Rhinolophus ferrumequinum: one gene and its partner. The main gene of each other region encodes a partner of the protein of the gene in region 2 in a complex. Links are inferred from orthologs where the notes say so. Each region holds a gene or a part of one and is shown on either strand. Other genes may lie near its edges.

Region 1 (6,424 bases), on a different chromosome or scaffold from region 2:
AGCTCAAGTACCCAGGACTGGGTAACCAGGAAGGCTTCCTGGAAGAGGGATGACTTGAGCTAGGCTTCAGAAGTCTTACGTATCTCAGACTGGAAGGAACCTTAACAATCATCTATTCCAGCAGTTTTCAAACTTTGTAGCCTCAGGACCTTTCTTCAAAGAATCTTTGTGTAGAAACACAGTATATAAAACATAAAAAACAGCTACTCTGGTGAGTGCTGGGTGGGGGAGGACAGAGCCAGTTCAGCCTCCTTTTCTGCTGTGCCTCTCAGAGGGCCCTGGAGAACCCCTCAACCTCCTGACTCCTGCACAGCATGTGGTGTGAAAACCCCTGACTCAGGCCATTTTACAGATGAGTATTACAGAGGGGGAGGGAGTTTCCCAGGGACAGTCTGTGGCAGAGCTGGAGACAAATTGGGCTGTTTTGTTTTTATCCTATATTGTGGAGACCCGCCTCGCACCCCAAGCAGCCCATGAAAAGTGGGACAGAAACCCAAATGAGACAGGCATTGTGGGAGAGACAGAAGACTGTGGACAGGGTACTTTGCAAGATAAATAACTCCCACCCATTTGACTCGACACCAGGAAGTGGAGGGAGTGAGTCGGACCTGACTTGGACCTGTGCCCGTGGGGGTCTGCTTGGGCCCCTCTCTCCTCATGTCCAAATGGAATTGAGCCTCTCTGGCTTCGGGCTGCTCCTCGGGGTCCTGACTTCTCGGCACCACAGACCATGTCCTTCTGTTATCACACAGCCAGGCTGAGAGAGCCCTGGCCTCACCTGGGACAGTCAGCCAGAGGGAGGACAGGTAAGCCCTTCCTCCTGAGCATGAGCAAAGTCTGGCCTTGACTCAAAAGAGAGTCCAGCATTGTCAATACTTCTCAGCAACTCACTGAGGTTCTTCTGCCCTGTGCTGTGGGAGGGCCCCCGGGACCTGGACCAGAAAGAACCTGCTCCTCTACACCCTCTTTTGTGTCTTTCTGGGGCAACATTGGTGTCTGGGACTGGAGCTTCCAAAGCTTTGCCAGAACACAACCACTGAAATGTGAGAGCCAGGGCACGGGGTGGGCACCAGGGATTTGGGCACACCTGAGGACCTTATCGGGGATTTCTGGGTCCCATTCATCCAGGCCATGGCCATACAACCCTACTGGACGGCAGAGGAGCCACAGAAGCTGATGTACTGACTGGATTTGTTCTGTGTGCCTCTGGGCCCAAAGGACTGGAAGAACCCAGTGGCAATCAAAAACTTCACCTCGTACCAAGAATGGCCTACACCCAACAGCAGACACCCCACTTCAGCGGGTAATCCAGCCTGCCTCCCTAGCCCCAATTTTGGAAAGCATGATTTAAAGCATTTTCTATTTCCTTTGAGTTTCCGCGGATCTAGTCACTTTGTTATTATTGTAGGTGGTTACAATCAGCCAGTGGCCCAGGACCTGTGGGGAGAGGCTTAGACGCATGCTGTGAGGCCAGGGAAAACCAGTCAAAGCATTCACATTTGGTCTGGAAAATTCAAGAAATGGTCTCTTACCACTGAGACACTTTAAAATACAACTACATTGACACTCATTTGGGACTTGAGAGTGTTTCTCCTATTCGTGTCACAGATCCTTGAACTCACAGATTATGTGTGGTGTGTTTTTAACATGTAACTCGGTATAGTTTGTTACTGTGGGAAAACCTGTCCTTCCATGGCTGTGGCGCTTTTGTGACAACGTTAAACAGAGATTGATTTGACTCTCAGAATCTTAGATTCTGGCACATGGCATATGCTATACCATGGTATTTAGGCAACATCCCAGCTTGAGCCTGATTCTGAAAACGACATCTCATAAGAGATTTATAAGCCAAACTTGCTCAGCCCCCTGCATCTCATTCCATTCTTCTCCCAGTGAATGACGGACAGGGAGGCAGAGGAGGGGTATCAAGAAAGACGATACATTGATTTACAGCCTTCAGCCGTTGTCTGGAGAATTCCTGTTCTTTTATTCCATGGTGGCCTCATCTCGGCTTTGGATAATACACATGGCAATGCCAAGCCCTCTGGCACCCCTGCCATGCATCAAGATCCCGTTTGCTTGGGGATAGGAAAAGCAGACATTCCTCACCCTTTCTACCCTTACCCTTGTTCATAGGGGCATCGGTAACTCAAGGAGTGGAGGTATTTATGTTTAAGAGAAGAAATTGTAACACAATTCACCAGGAAGATGAGAAACAAAAGAAAGCCATTATGTGCTATGTAAACGGCTAGCTGTCCCAGGCCACCTTCGCTGAAGAGCCCTGGAAGGACTTTGATAAACTTATAATTATTATCAGGCCTCTGTGTGGTTATTCATGTTATTCCTCAGCGTAGGAAAAAGATCAGCATTTTACCAAATTCACAAACATTGAATAAGAGCTTCAGTATTGCTAAAGAAAATCACACAGGTGGGCAGAGTGATGCAGATCTGAATTCATGACCTTCAACCTCAACTGGAACCTCAGCCCTGCCTAGCTAGTTTCCATTCTAATTACTAGTTTCCATTGTTTGTAATGACCATTTCATACTTTCTCTACCTTCCCCAGATATCTGACGCCCTCCACCTTCCACACCTCCACTTTCAGTAGACAGCTCATCCTTCATAAAGAAAACTGGAGGTATCAGATAGAAGTCCCCAACTTACCTCCCTCTGCGCCAGCCTGCTTCTCTCCCCATCCCTTCTGTTACAACAAAGGAAGCACTAATGGCTCTATCAATGGCTTCACACACTGCACCAGAGGCCTTCAAACTAAGGCTTGCATTCCCACAGCGACATGAAGTTTTTCCAAAAGGTAGGTAGACACAGACAGTTTTTAAGGGAATCGATTTCCAGAACTTCTTCCTTCATAAGTTCCCTCTCCTCTTATTGATCAGCCTAAGAAGGAGCCTTAGGTCAGCCAGTTCTGCTTGATCTCCACTTTCCCAACTGACTCCCTCCTTCATTTTGAATCCTACTCTGGCACATTGCTCTGCAGTATAAAAAAACAAAAGGACTACTTGAGAGTACTCGGCTTGAAGAAGTCCTTGAGAGAGCAAAGCCTAGAGAGTTGGCTTTGAAAAATTTTGAAGGGGACAGCCCTGTAGCTCAATTCTGTGCCTTCTCCATTTAATTTGAATTCTTTATTTTAATTGAAAAACAAAATTTAAAAAAAGTTTTTTTAATAAAACAAAATCTGACGTTTTCTGATGGAAAGTCAATCTCATTTGGCTGATGGGTTTGACACAGAGGACTGGCTTTGCAAATAGGATATATGGTGGACATTTTCCAGAAATGGAATCATTTAAATCTGAAGCTTCATGGTTTGAACAAAAATATATTTAAAGTACATATACAACTTCCCCTTGCAGCCAAGATCGAGTAGCAGGAACCAGATTTACCCTCCTTTCTAAAACAACCCCCCAAACAGAAACAACAGTTTTCACAACTCTGGACATAAGACAACAAAGGACAGTGATCCTGATGGACAAGAAACAAATGAGGTGACCCTATGATTGCCTGGCTTACTGCTTGAGAGAGTTTCCAGGATGTATTGCAGGGAGGGAGAACCCAGGCAGGGCCATGCAGACTTCCTGAGCTGAGGAGATAGCTCAGAGTTTGGGGCAACCAAGGTAGCTAGAGTGCTCAGGACAGAATACTGGAGAAGAGAAAAGTGCGCAGAGAGAGAAAGAGAGAATTCTGGAGATCTGCAAAGGGCTTCCCTCAAGTATTCAGCAGAACACTGCTCATTATATAAGTGTGAGGAAACTATTTAAGACCAAGGAAAAAGAACCATCAAAATGATTAGAGGGAACAGTAGCCACTAGTCGCACAGGGCTGGAACATTACCTATTCCCATTAGCCAGACTGGAAAACCTCATAATTTATGGAGCATTGGTTAGAGTTCTCAGAAGGATCTTGCCTCAGTAGTGAGGACTCATTAGCCCTAGTTTAAACATTGTTCATTCCCACCTAACAAATCTTAAAAGCAAGACCTGACAGGATCAAACTCTTTCTAAGTAATGTAACTGCATCCCAGAACAAACCTCCAAAATATCTACAGGAACACAAAACCAGCACTCAAAAATGTAAAATTCACAATGCTTGAGGTCTAGTAAAATTACCAGTTATGCAAAGAAGCAGGAAAATATGACCCAGAGTGAGGAGGAAAATCAATTGGCACCAACTGAGAACTGATACCTGTATGAGTCACCTGACAAGGACATCCAAACGATTATTATAACTGTATTCCATATATTCAAATAGCTAAGTAGAAACTTGGAAGATATTTTTTCAATACCCAGATTGAACTTGTAGAGATGAAAACTAAAATGTCTGAGATGAAAAAGCAATGGATGAAATTAAAAACAGTTTAGACATTGCAGTAAAAAGATTGGTGAACTTGAAGACATAGCAATAGAAATTATCCAGAATGAAATACCAAAAGAGAAAAGAATTTTAGAAATGAATAAAGAGCATACATAATATATAATATTGTGTTCCCCTAAAAATAAGACCTAGCTGGACAATCAGCTCTAATGGATATTTTGGAGCAAAAATTAATATAAGACCCAGTCTTATATAATATAATATAATATAATATACCCAGTCATATATTAATTTTTGCTCCAAAAGATGCATTAGAGCTGATTGTCCAGCTAGGTCTTATTTTCAGGGAAACACGGTAGGTAGAAAGTGTGTCCTTTACAAATATTTACAATTATGAAAATATTTAGGCATTAACTACAAATGGGTGAGAGGGTACATTGTTTTTTTTGTTTGTTCATTTTATTATTTGTGGGAGTACATGAACAAAAGAATTTGAAGATGCTGCTGTAGACCCCAACGTCCTTTCCTCTTTCTCTATGGCTTTGCTCCTTTGATCATCCCCTCTGTCCTCTGAAGCAACCTTTTCTTCCTCTCAGCTGACTCATTCCCATTGGCACATGTATCAGTTAGGATCTGCATCTTCGAGATTCCCCCCAGCCCACCTCCAGTTACTGCCCAATTGCTCTGCTCCATTCACAAACTCTCTATACCTGCCATCTGCTCCCCCAGCTCTCATGTACTCTTCAACCTGTTCCAACATGGCTTTCACTCAAACCCCTCCACCAGAATTTCTCTTCCTATACAATGACTTATTTGTTGCTAAATTAAAGGCTCCTTTTTATTTCCCATCTGGCCTGCCCTTTCCGTTATTTTCAATAGTTTACCACTCCCTCCTTCAATAGTGCCTTACTTCTTCCTTCTTAGCTACTAAGATACCACCATTGATTTGTTTTCTTCTCACCTCTCTGGCACCTCTTTATCAGGTCTCTTGGCTGTCACCTTTTTATTGTAACCTTTAAATGCTGCTGTCCCTGTCGTTGGCCCTAAGTGTCTCTGTACTTTTTCCCTCGGTGATCTCATTCAATATCATGGATTTAAATGCACCCATATACACATGACTCCCAAGAGTGTATCTCCAATCTAGACTCTCCTCTGGGCTCAAAGCTGGTATTTCCAACTGCCTGCCTGACAGTTTAAACACTTGAATGTCTCAGAGGCATTTCAAATTTACCATGTTCAAAACTAAACTCTTAATCTCCCCCAACACAAAATAGTGAGTATCCACACAATTATTCAAGCCTGGGAGTAATCCTTCAGATCGCCTTATCTCTTATCCCTCCTCCCCCCGCCACTTCCAATCTAGCACTGAGTCCTGAGATTCACCTACAAAAGCCAAGTCTTGAATGTGTCTGCTTCTCTCCATTTTCACTAAACCACCACCATCATGGCCAAGCCACCATCATCTCTAGCTTGAAGGATGAGCCTCCCAGTGGTCTCCCTAGTTCCACTCGTTTCCTTCAATCCATTCCCCCCAGGAGTGGCCAAAATGAGCTTTTAAAAACATAACTTGAGTAATACTCTCCTGCTGTAATACTATAATGGCTTCCCATTACTCTTAAGATAAAATCTCATTTCTTTATCTTTGGCCTACAAAGGCTGCCATTCTTCCAGCTTTATCTGTACCACTCTCCTTTCATCTTTCAGTCCCTTCTAGGAGAAAAGCCCATTCCTGCCTTAGAACTTTGCATTTCTTCCCCCTCTCCCATTGGTCATCTGTTTAACTCCCACTCATCCTTTGTTAATCAAACGTTACTCAGATGTCTTCCCTGACTCCCCAATTTAAACTAGGTCTCCCTGCTTTTCTCCCTAATAGTACATTGTATTTTTCCTTCATAGTTCTACTAGTTGGTAAATATGTATTTATTTGGTGTTTGTCAGTTTTATTGAGATATAATTGACAAGTTCGTGTGACTATTTGTTTACTGTTTTCTAGATTGTAAACCCCAGGACGGTAGAGCCAAGGTCAGTCTTGATATTTGCTGCACCACCCCCATCAGCCCACTTACAATAGTGGTCAGGCACATGGCAGAAACTCAAT
Region 2 (6,424 bases):
AATCACTTTAAAACACCTCTCTCAAAATTCAATAGATATGGCAGACTGAAAAACATGCAAGGACAGAGTAATTAACTATCTGTTGATGGGTATATATAGAATCTGACATCCTTTGAGCAGTAAATATGCTTTTTTTTCATATGTTCATGGAACACTTAGAAAAATTCCTCCTATAGTTGGCTACAAAGAAAATAAATTATAATCTGATCATAATGCAAGGAAATAAATTTAAAAAGTGACAGAAAAAGGTTTTTAAGCACTTGGAAATTAGGAACCACTCCTAAATAACCCCTGAATTAAAGATAAAAAAAAGAAAATTATAAACTAGCTAGAAAGCATGACAAAGGATGACTATAATATACAAAGAACACTTATAAAATGACTAAAAAGGGTAACAACCCAATAAAAAAATGAGCAAATAACATAAAATAAGCATTTCACAAAAGAGCAAATCCAAATAACCAACACACATATAAAGAAAGATACACTCAATGGTAGTCAAGAAAATGCAAGTTAAAATAACAATGGGATTCCACATCAGACTGGCTGAAATTTTAAAGATCTCTAATAACTACCACAAGAAGTGATGTGGGGAAATGGATATCCTTATACAATACTGGAGAAATAACTATTTCAGATAGTAATCTAGCAAAATTTCTTACAATGAAAAACATCTTTCCTTCAACCCAACAATGCTATTCCTGAAAACGTATCTCATTAAAATAAAAGTATCAGTACCTAATATATGCATAAAGATATTTATGTTAAGTTTATAGAAGCAAAAAAAATGAAACAAATAACCATTTATGAATTATGATTCATGCATACCATAGTATCTCATGGATTAGTTCCACATCAACTCTTTATGTCATAGTTTTCACATTTTTGTGCTTTTTTGACTTGGAGGGATTTGCACCACATTGTTGAATGAAAAAAGCAACATACAGAGAAATATAAACAGTCGATCCTCATTTTTTATGCATTCAGTATTTGTGAAATTGCATACTCACTAAAATTTATTTGTAACCCCAAAATCAATATTTGCAGCACTTTTGATCATCTGTGGACATGCAGAGTGGCGAAAAATATGAATCACCTGAAACACACATTCCCAGCTGAAAGAGAACAAGGTGACATTCTGCCTCTTACTTTAGCTGTCATACTGCTTTTCATAATCTATTTAGTGCCAGGGTTTTCGCATTTCTGTGCTTTCTGTTGGTGATTTTGCTGCTTTAAATGGCCCCCAAACATAGTGCTCAAGTGCTAAGTGCAAGAAAGCAGTGATGTGCTTTATGTGCATTACATAAGCTTTATTCAGGCATGAGTGCAATGTTAATGAATCGACAATATATATTAGATAAAGTGTTTTAAAACATAAACACACATAAAATAAGGTTATGTATTGATTGGTTAACGCAAATGTTTGATCAGAAGTCAGCAGGAACATAACCCTGTGTTTTCCCTAGGAGCATCAGTTCAGTATTTGCTAATTAAGTGTTCACAGAGACTTTATAGAACATAATTACTCATAAGAATTGACTATATATTGTGATTGATTAATAATTTTGTATGTTTGCATGTTATTATTAAAAGAACACAGAAAAAATATGAAAGGATACATAACAGGATGTTAAAATGAATTGGTTACTTGGGACGAGCAGGACAAGTGTAGGAGGGATTAATTCCAGAGGAAGGGCAAATCAGAGGAAAAGTGAAGCTAAGCAACAAAAATGACAGAGAGCAAAAAAGGAAAAAAAATGCCTTGACAAAAAAGTATAATAATCTACTATGGATGTGTGTATGTATCAACATATACAAACAGACACACATAAAGAGATGCAAGAAAGGATTTTCAAATATGTTATGGTAGTTATCTAAGATAACAGAAACATATTTTTTCTTATTATTTATATATTGTGCAAATGTTTCAAACAATGTACACTATATAAATAATCAAAATTTTAAATAGCAAAGAAACTCTTTTCCAACTATATCAGCAGGTAGCAAGCCCTCTAATTAGGAGGAGAGAATCCTAAATTCCTACTGTGATCAAATGACTATGGTTAAATTCTATACGCTCTATGAAGATCACTTCCCACTTAGTACTTATTTCTTTTCTACCTAAGCTATACTGGCTAATATATTAATAGTAGCCACTACCCACATGTAGCTATTTAAATTAAAATTAAATACAACTAAAAATTTAGTTTCTCAGTCACATTAGCTACCTTTCAAGTGCTCAACAGTCACGTAATTAATAGCTACCACACTGGATAGCACAAATAATCAAATATTTCCATCATCCCAGAAAATTCTATTAGACAGTAGGTGTTAAGAGTTTTTCAAGAAAGACTGCTACCTTCATACATATGTACTCAGGCTACCATCTGTCTTTATATATTCTTCTTTCCTCCTCTAACCTACTTTATTTATATCCCATCTCCTTCCAAAAATAATTCAGACTTCATGAAAAAGAACAGAGATCAATTGGTCAATTGATCAGGTTAATGAAATACAAAATCATGGTCAAAAAAAGGGAAGCAAATCTTCCTATTTCAAGGAGTAACAGTAGCTATCTACACCTGATGATCAAATTTGACCCTGAGCTTTCCAGTAGCCAGAGCAAGAAGGAACATATGGTAAACTATATAGTTCTCATTATCAGAAAGAGAAAAAATAGGATGGAGGGCTATTGCCTCACTCTGGCAGCTGTCTGACCTCTGCAGGAGCCCATGTTAGAGGGAGACTACTAATCAAAGTGGTAGTATTTCTATGTAGTTCGGTAGATTGAACAGGGGAGGAGGTGATAAAATCTAGCAGCTAAATAGAGGTGCATGTTCTCAGTGGATTTTCTTTAACCACCCTAGGGCACCTCTCTGTTGGCCTGAATAGCTGTAAATGGATGTCACTGAGGTAGAAGACTTCATTATCGTTATTAATTACGTTCCAGCTCTGGCCCTCTGTTCCTCTGAGCTCTCCGCCTCGGCAAAGAGCCCAGTTGAGAAGATGGCTAGGCGAATCTCACCTGCAGCCCCAGTTTGCACAGTGATGGGGTCAGCGAGTAGCTTATCGGGGGCCCTTTTCCAGAGTTGGTGAGGGCACCGGGCTGCAGGTTAAGTTCTTGGAGAGGAGTTCTCATAGCTGGTATTCCCTGAGAAAGAAAGAACGGAAAGTGTGAGCAAGCCTGGGCTCTGTCTGCCAGCCCGCCCTTTCTCCCTCCCTAAGAAGCTCACAGGTCAATAAGAGACTCCTACTCCAGGCGCGCGGAAGCGGCAGGATCAACAGAACACTCCACAGGCCCCCCCACCCCACCACCTCCGACCCCAGGCTCGACCCAGCAGTCTCTCTCCAGGAGGCTCTCCCGCTCACCGGTTGCGAGGAAGGCGACAGGCTAAGGTTCAGTTTTTTCACCCGCCACATTTTTAACACAGAACGCAGGACGATGACCTCGCAGACCCAAGACTTGACGGCCAGTTCACCCGTCGCCTTTATTTGAAACTGCTCCACGCTTACCGATTGGCTGCGGAGCCTCAGGGCGTCAGGCTGGCGCGTCCGCTCAGTAATCAAGCCCGGTTGGCGGTGGGCGGAGCCAGCGCAGGCCCCGCCCCGCCCCGCCCGACCCCTAGTCGCGCGTGTTCTCGCGGTGGACCCCTCACTACAGACGCAGGCTGCAGGGCAGGATGTGTGCTAGGCCTAAGGCCGGTACCTCATGTTGAGGAGGGTACCCAGGTAGCAGGGCCACCCTCAACCCTGTCAGAAAAGTTGTCTCCGTGTGGCCTGGCCTTAGGAAATCTTTTCAGGTTTCCCTTATTTACCTCGCGCCTTGACCAGAAAGAGCCGGCCAGGGAGTCTGGAAGGAAAAGGTGAGTGGAGCATTTTTTATTTAGGCTTGGTCAGTCCGCTCATAGGTCCTGCTTCGAAAATGGCCTGAGACGTAGTTCTCAACCCACGCTGTAATTTAACCGTTGAGAATTTTTTGTTATCTTGGGACTTACCTGAGCGCCTGCAATGAGTTTACTGGAACAATCGCTAACATGTATTGAACATTTACCATGTACCTGGCACTATGCCAGATGCTTTATATATATTAACTCTTTATATATAATATCTCACATACACACACGGAGATCCTTACTTCATAAGGATCTATGAAGTAGGTACCGTAAATATCCCCATTTTACAGACAAAACAACTGAATCATAGATCATGTAATTTGCCCAATGCAGGTAGTAAATAAGCCGTCAAGATTCCAGCTCAACTAGCAACTACTACTACATTCTCCTGTCGCTTGAATCCGCTCTGTATGGGAAATCTAGCCATTTAAGGTGGAATTGAGTCTTGGAAACAGCCTAAAGGTTAGCTATTGAAAGTTAATGATAAAGTATGTTCCTTTGAACATTTACAGCACCTTTACAATCTGAAGTCTTAATGAGTTTGGAAATGGCAATACTCCAAAGAGGAGGAACTATAATGTTATGAACTGCAAAGCCCACAGGGGTGGGTTCCTCTAGAACTGTGTTGTCCAATATTACAGCCACTAGCCACATGTGGCTATTGTGCACTTCATGTGTGGCTAGTCTAAATTGAGATGAGTTATAGGTATAAAATACAAACTAGATTTTGAAGACTTTGTATTTAAAATAATGTAAAATATCTTATTTTTAAAATATCATGTTGAAATATTGTAGATATATTGGGTTAAATAAAATACATTAGAATTAATTTCACCTGTTTCTTTTTACCTTTTAATGCAGCTACTAGCAAATTTAAAATTACTTACAGGTTTACATCTTTGTTGGACAACACTGCTCTAGAATCATAATGGTCTTAGCCTGCAGGCACTAGAAAAAACTGTTGCTTTATGGAAGGAAAACTGGGAGAAAGACAACATAACAGCACAAACTTGAGCCTGGGATTGCCCAAGACTCAGCAGAAGGAATCCCAAGATATATGTACTTAGGGTCAAAAAGACTTAGCAAAGAAAACAAAGGTGGGAAGTGACAGAAAAACCAAGACAGAAAACTCAAGTGCCAGCAGTAAACGCTTGTATTGTAGAAATGTATGAATTGAAATGCTTAGTTCTTGTTGCAGTTGGTATGTCAGATGCCAGGTGAGTAGCCAAAGGGATATGGCGCTTCCTGAAGCAATTTAAGAGGGATATGGAGGGGTAGATGAGAGGGAAAATACCATTGTAAATACGTAACATAAACAGAATTAGTTTGTTGTTGGTGTCTTGTATAATCTTTTTGATTTTAAAAATAATAGATGCTTTTTCTAGCAAGTGAAACAATACAATACAAAGATTAAAGGCAAAGGTTCCCCTGAATGAGGTAACCAATAGTGTGTACACCTTTATAAGAACATATACATACACACACAGGTTTTGTGTTTATTTATACACGCACACATTTTCCCCCAAAAAATTGTGCAGAATGGGGTCTCAAGTTGAGATCTTTTCTTGTCTTTCCACTTGCATTACCCCTCTTTCCCTTTCATGTTCTCTTTTTCACATTCTCTGTCTCACATACACACACGGAGAGGAAGAAGGCATTGAGTCCTTTACAAAAATGGCATTTCTTGGGCAGACAGGTGGCTCAGTTGGTTAGAGTGCAAGCTCTGGGCAATGGGGCTGCTGGCTCAATTTCCACATGGGCCAGTGAGCTGCACCCTCCTCAACTAGAATGAAGTCAGTGAGCTGCCGCTCAGCTCCCAGGTGACCAGATGGCTCGGTTGGAGCACAGGCTCTCAACCACAAGGTTGTTGGTTCGACTCCCACAAGGGATGGTGAGCTGCGCCCCCTGCAACTAACAACGGGCAACTGGACCTGGAGCTGAGCTGTGCCCTCCACAACTAAGATTGGAAGGCCAACAACTTGACTTGGAAAAATCCCAGAAGTACACACTGTTCCCCAATAAAGTCCTGTTCCCCTTCACGCTCCCCCAAAAAAAAATCTTTAAAAAAAAAAAGGCATTTCTTAGACTTCTGCATTTTTTTCCTCATTTGATGTATAGATCCTTCTAAGTCAACTGATACAGATTTATGAATTTGTCACTTCATATTCCTGGCCCTTAAAAAAGAAATAGGTTCTTTTCTAAGAGTTCTGTTATAGACATTAACTGTCATCACATTACAGTATTTTTTTTTTTTTTTGTCTATTGACTTTATTAATGGTATCTTTGGCCACACAAAGATCAAACTTATGTGGTCAAAATGTTTATCTTTCCTTTCAGAGCATGTGGATTTCTTATCTTGAGTCATTCATTCATCAAATTTTGATGTCACTGTTCTCCTTTTTTATAGTGCTTTCATTTTCTGTCTTGGTTTACACATCTCCTCCAGTGATTGATTGTAGGTCTAGTCTCCCAAATGTTCTTCTAAGATTCCTAATGTTTTGATGATCACATTCAAAGCCTTAATGTATCTG

Evidence for each region. The genes of interacting proteins can lie anywhere in the genome.
Region 1: SPAG5 (region 2) and KNSTRN share a complex: the UniProt entries of both Homo sapiens proteins name them as parts of the astrin (SPAG5)-kinastrin (SKAP) complex. The link is inferred for Rhinolophus ferrumequinum from reciprocal best matches to the Homo sapiens genes SPAG5 and KNSTRN.

The regions. Positions count from the first base shown.
Region 1 is NC_046289.1:64,663,472-64,669,895, reverse strand, and holds the start of KNSTRN (small kinetochore-associated protein), read left to right. Parts: upstream 1-2,713; 5' UTR 2,714-2,724; coding exon 2,725-2,812; intron 2,813-6,319; coding exon 6,320-6,348; intron 6,349-6,424. UniProt on the Homo sapiens protein: Essential component of the mitotic spindle required for faithful chromosome segregation and progression into anaphase.
Region 2 is NC_046304.1:18,834,296-18,840,719, reverse strand, and holds the start of SPAG5 (sperm-associated antigen 5), read right to left. Parts: upstream 3,510-6,424; 5' UTR 3,421-3,509; coding exon 3,370-3,420; intron 3,152-3,369; coding exon 3,026-3,151; intron 1-3,025. UniProt on the Homo sapiens protein: Essential component of the mitotic spindle required for normal chromosome segregation and progression into anaphase. Required for chromosome alignment, normal timing of sister chromatid segregation, and maintenance of spindle pole architecture.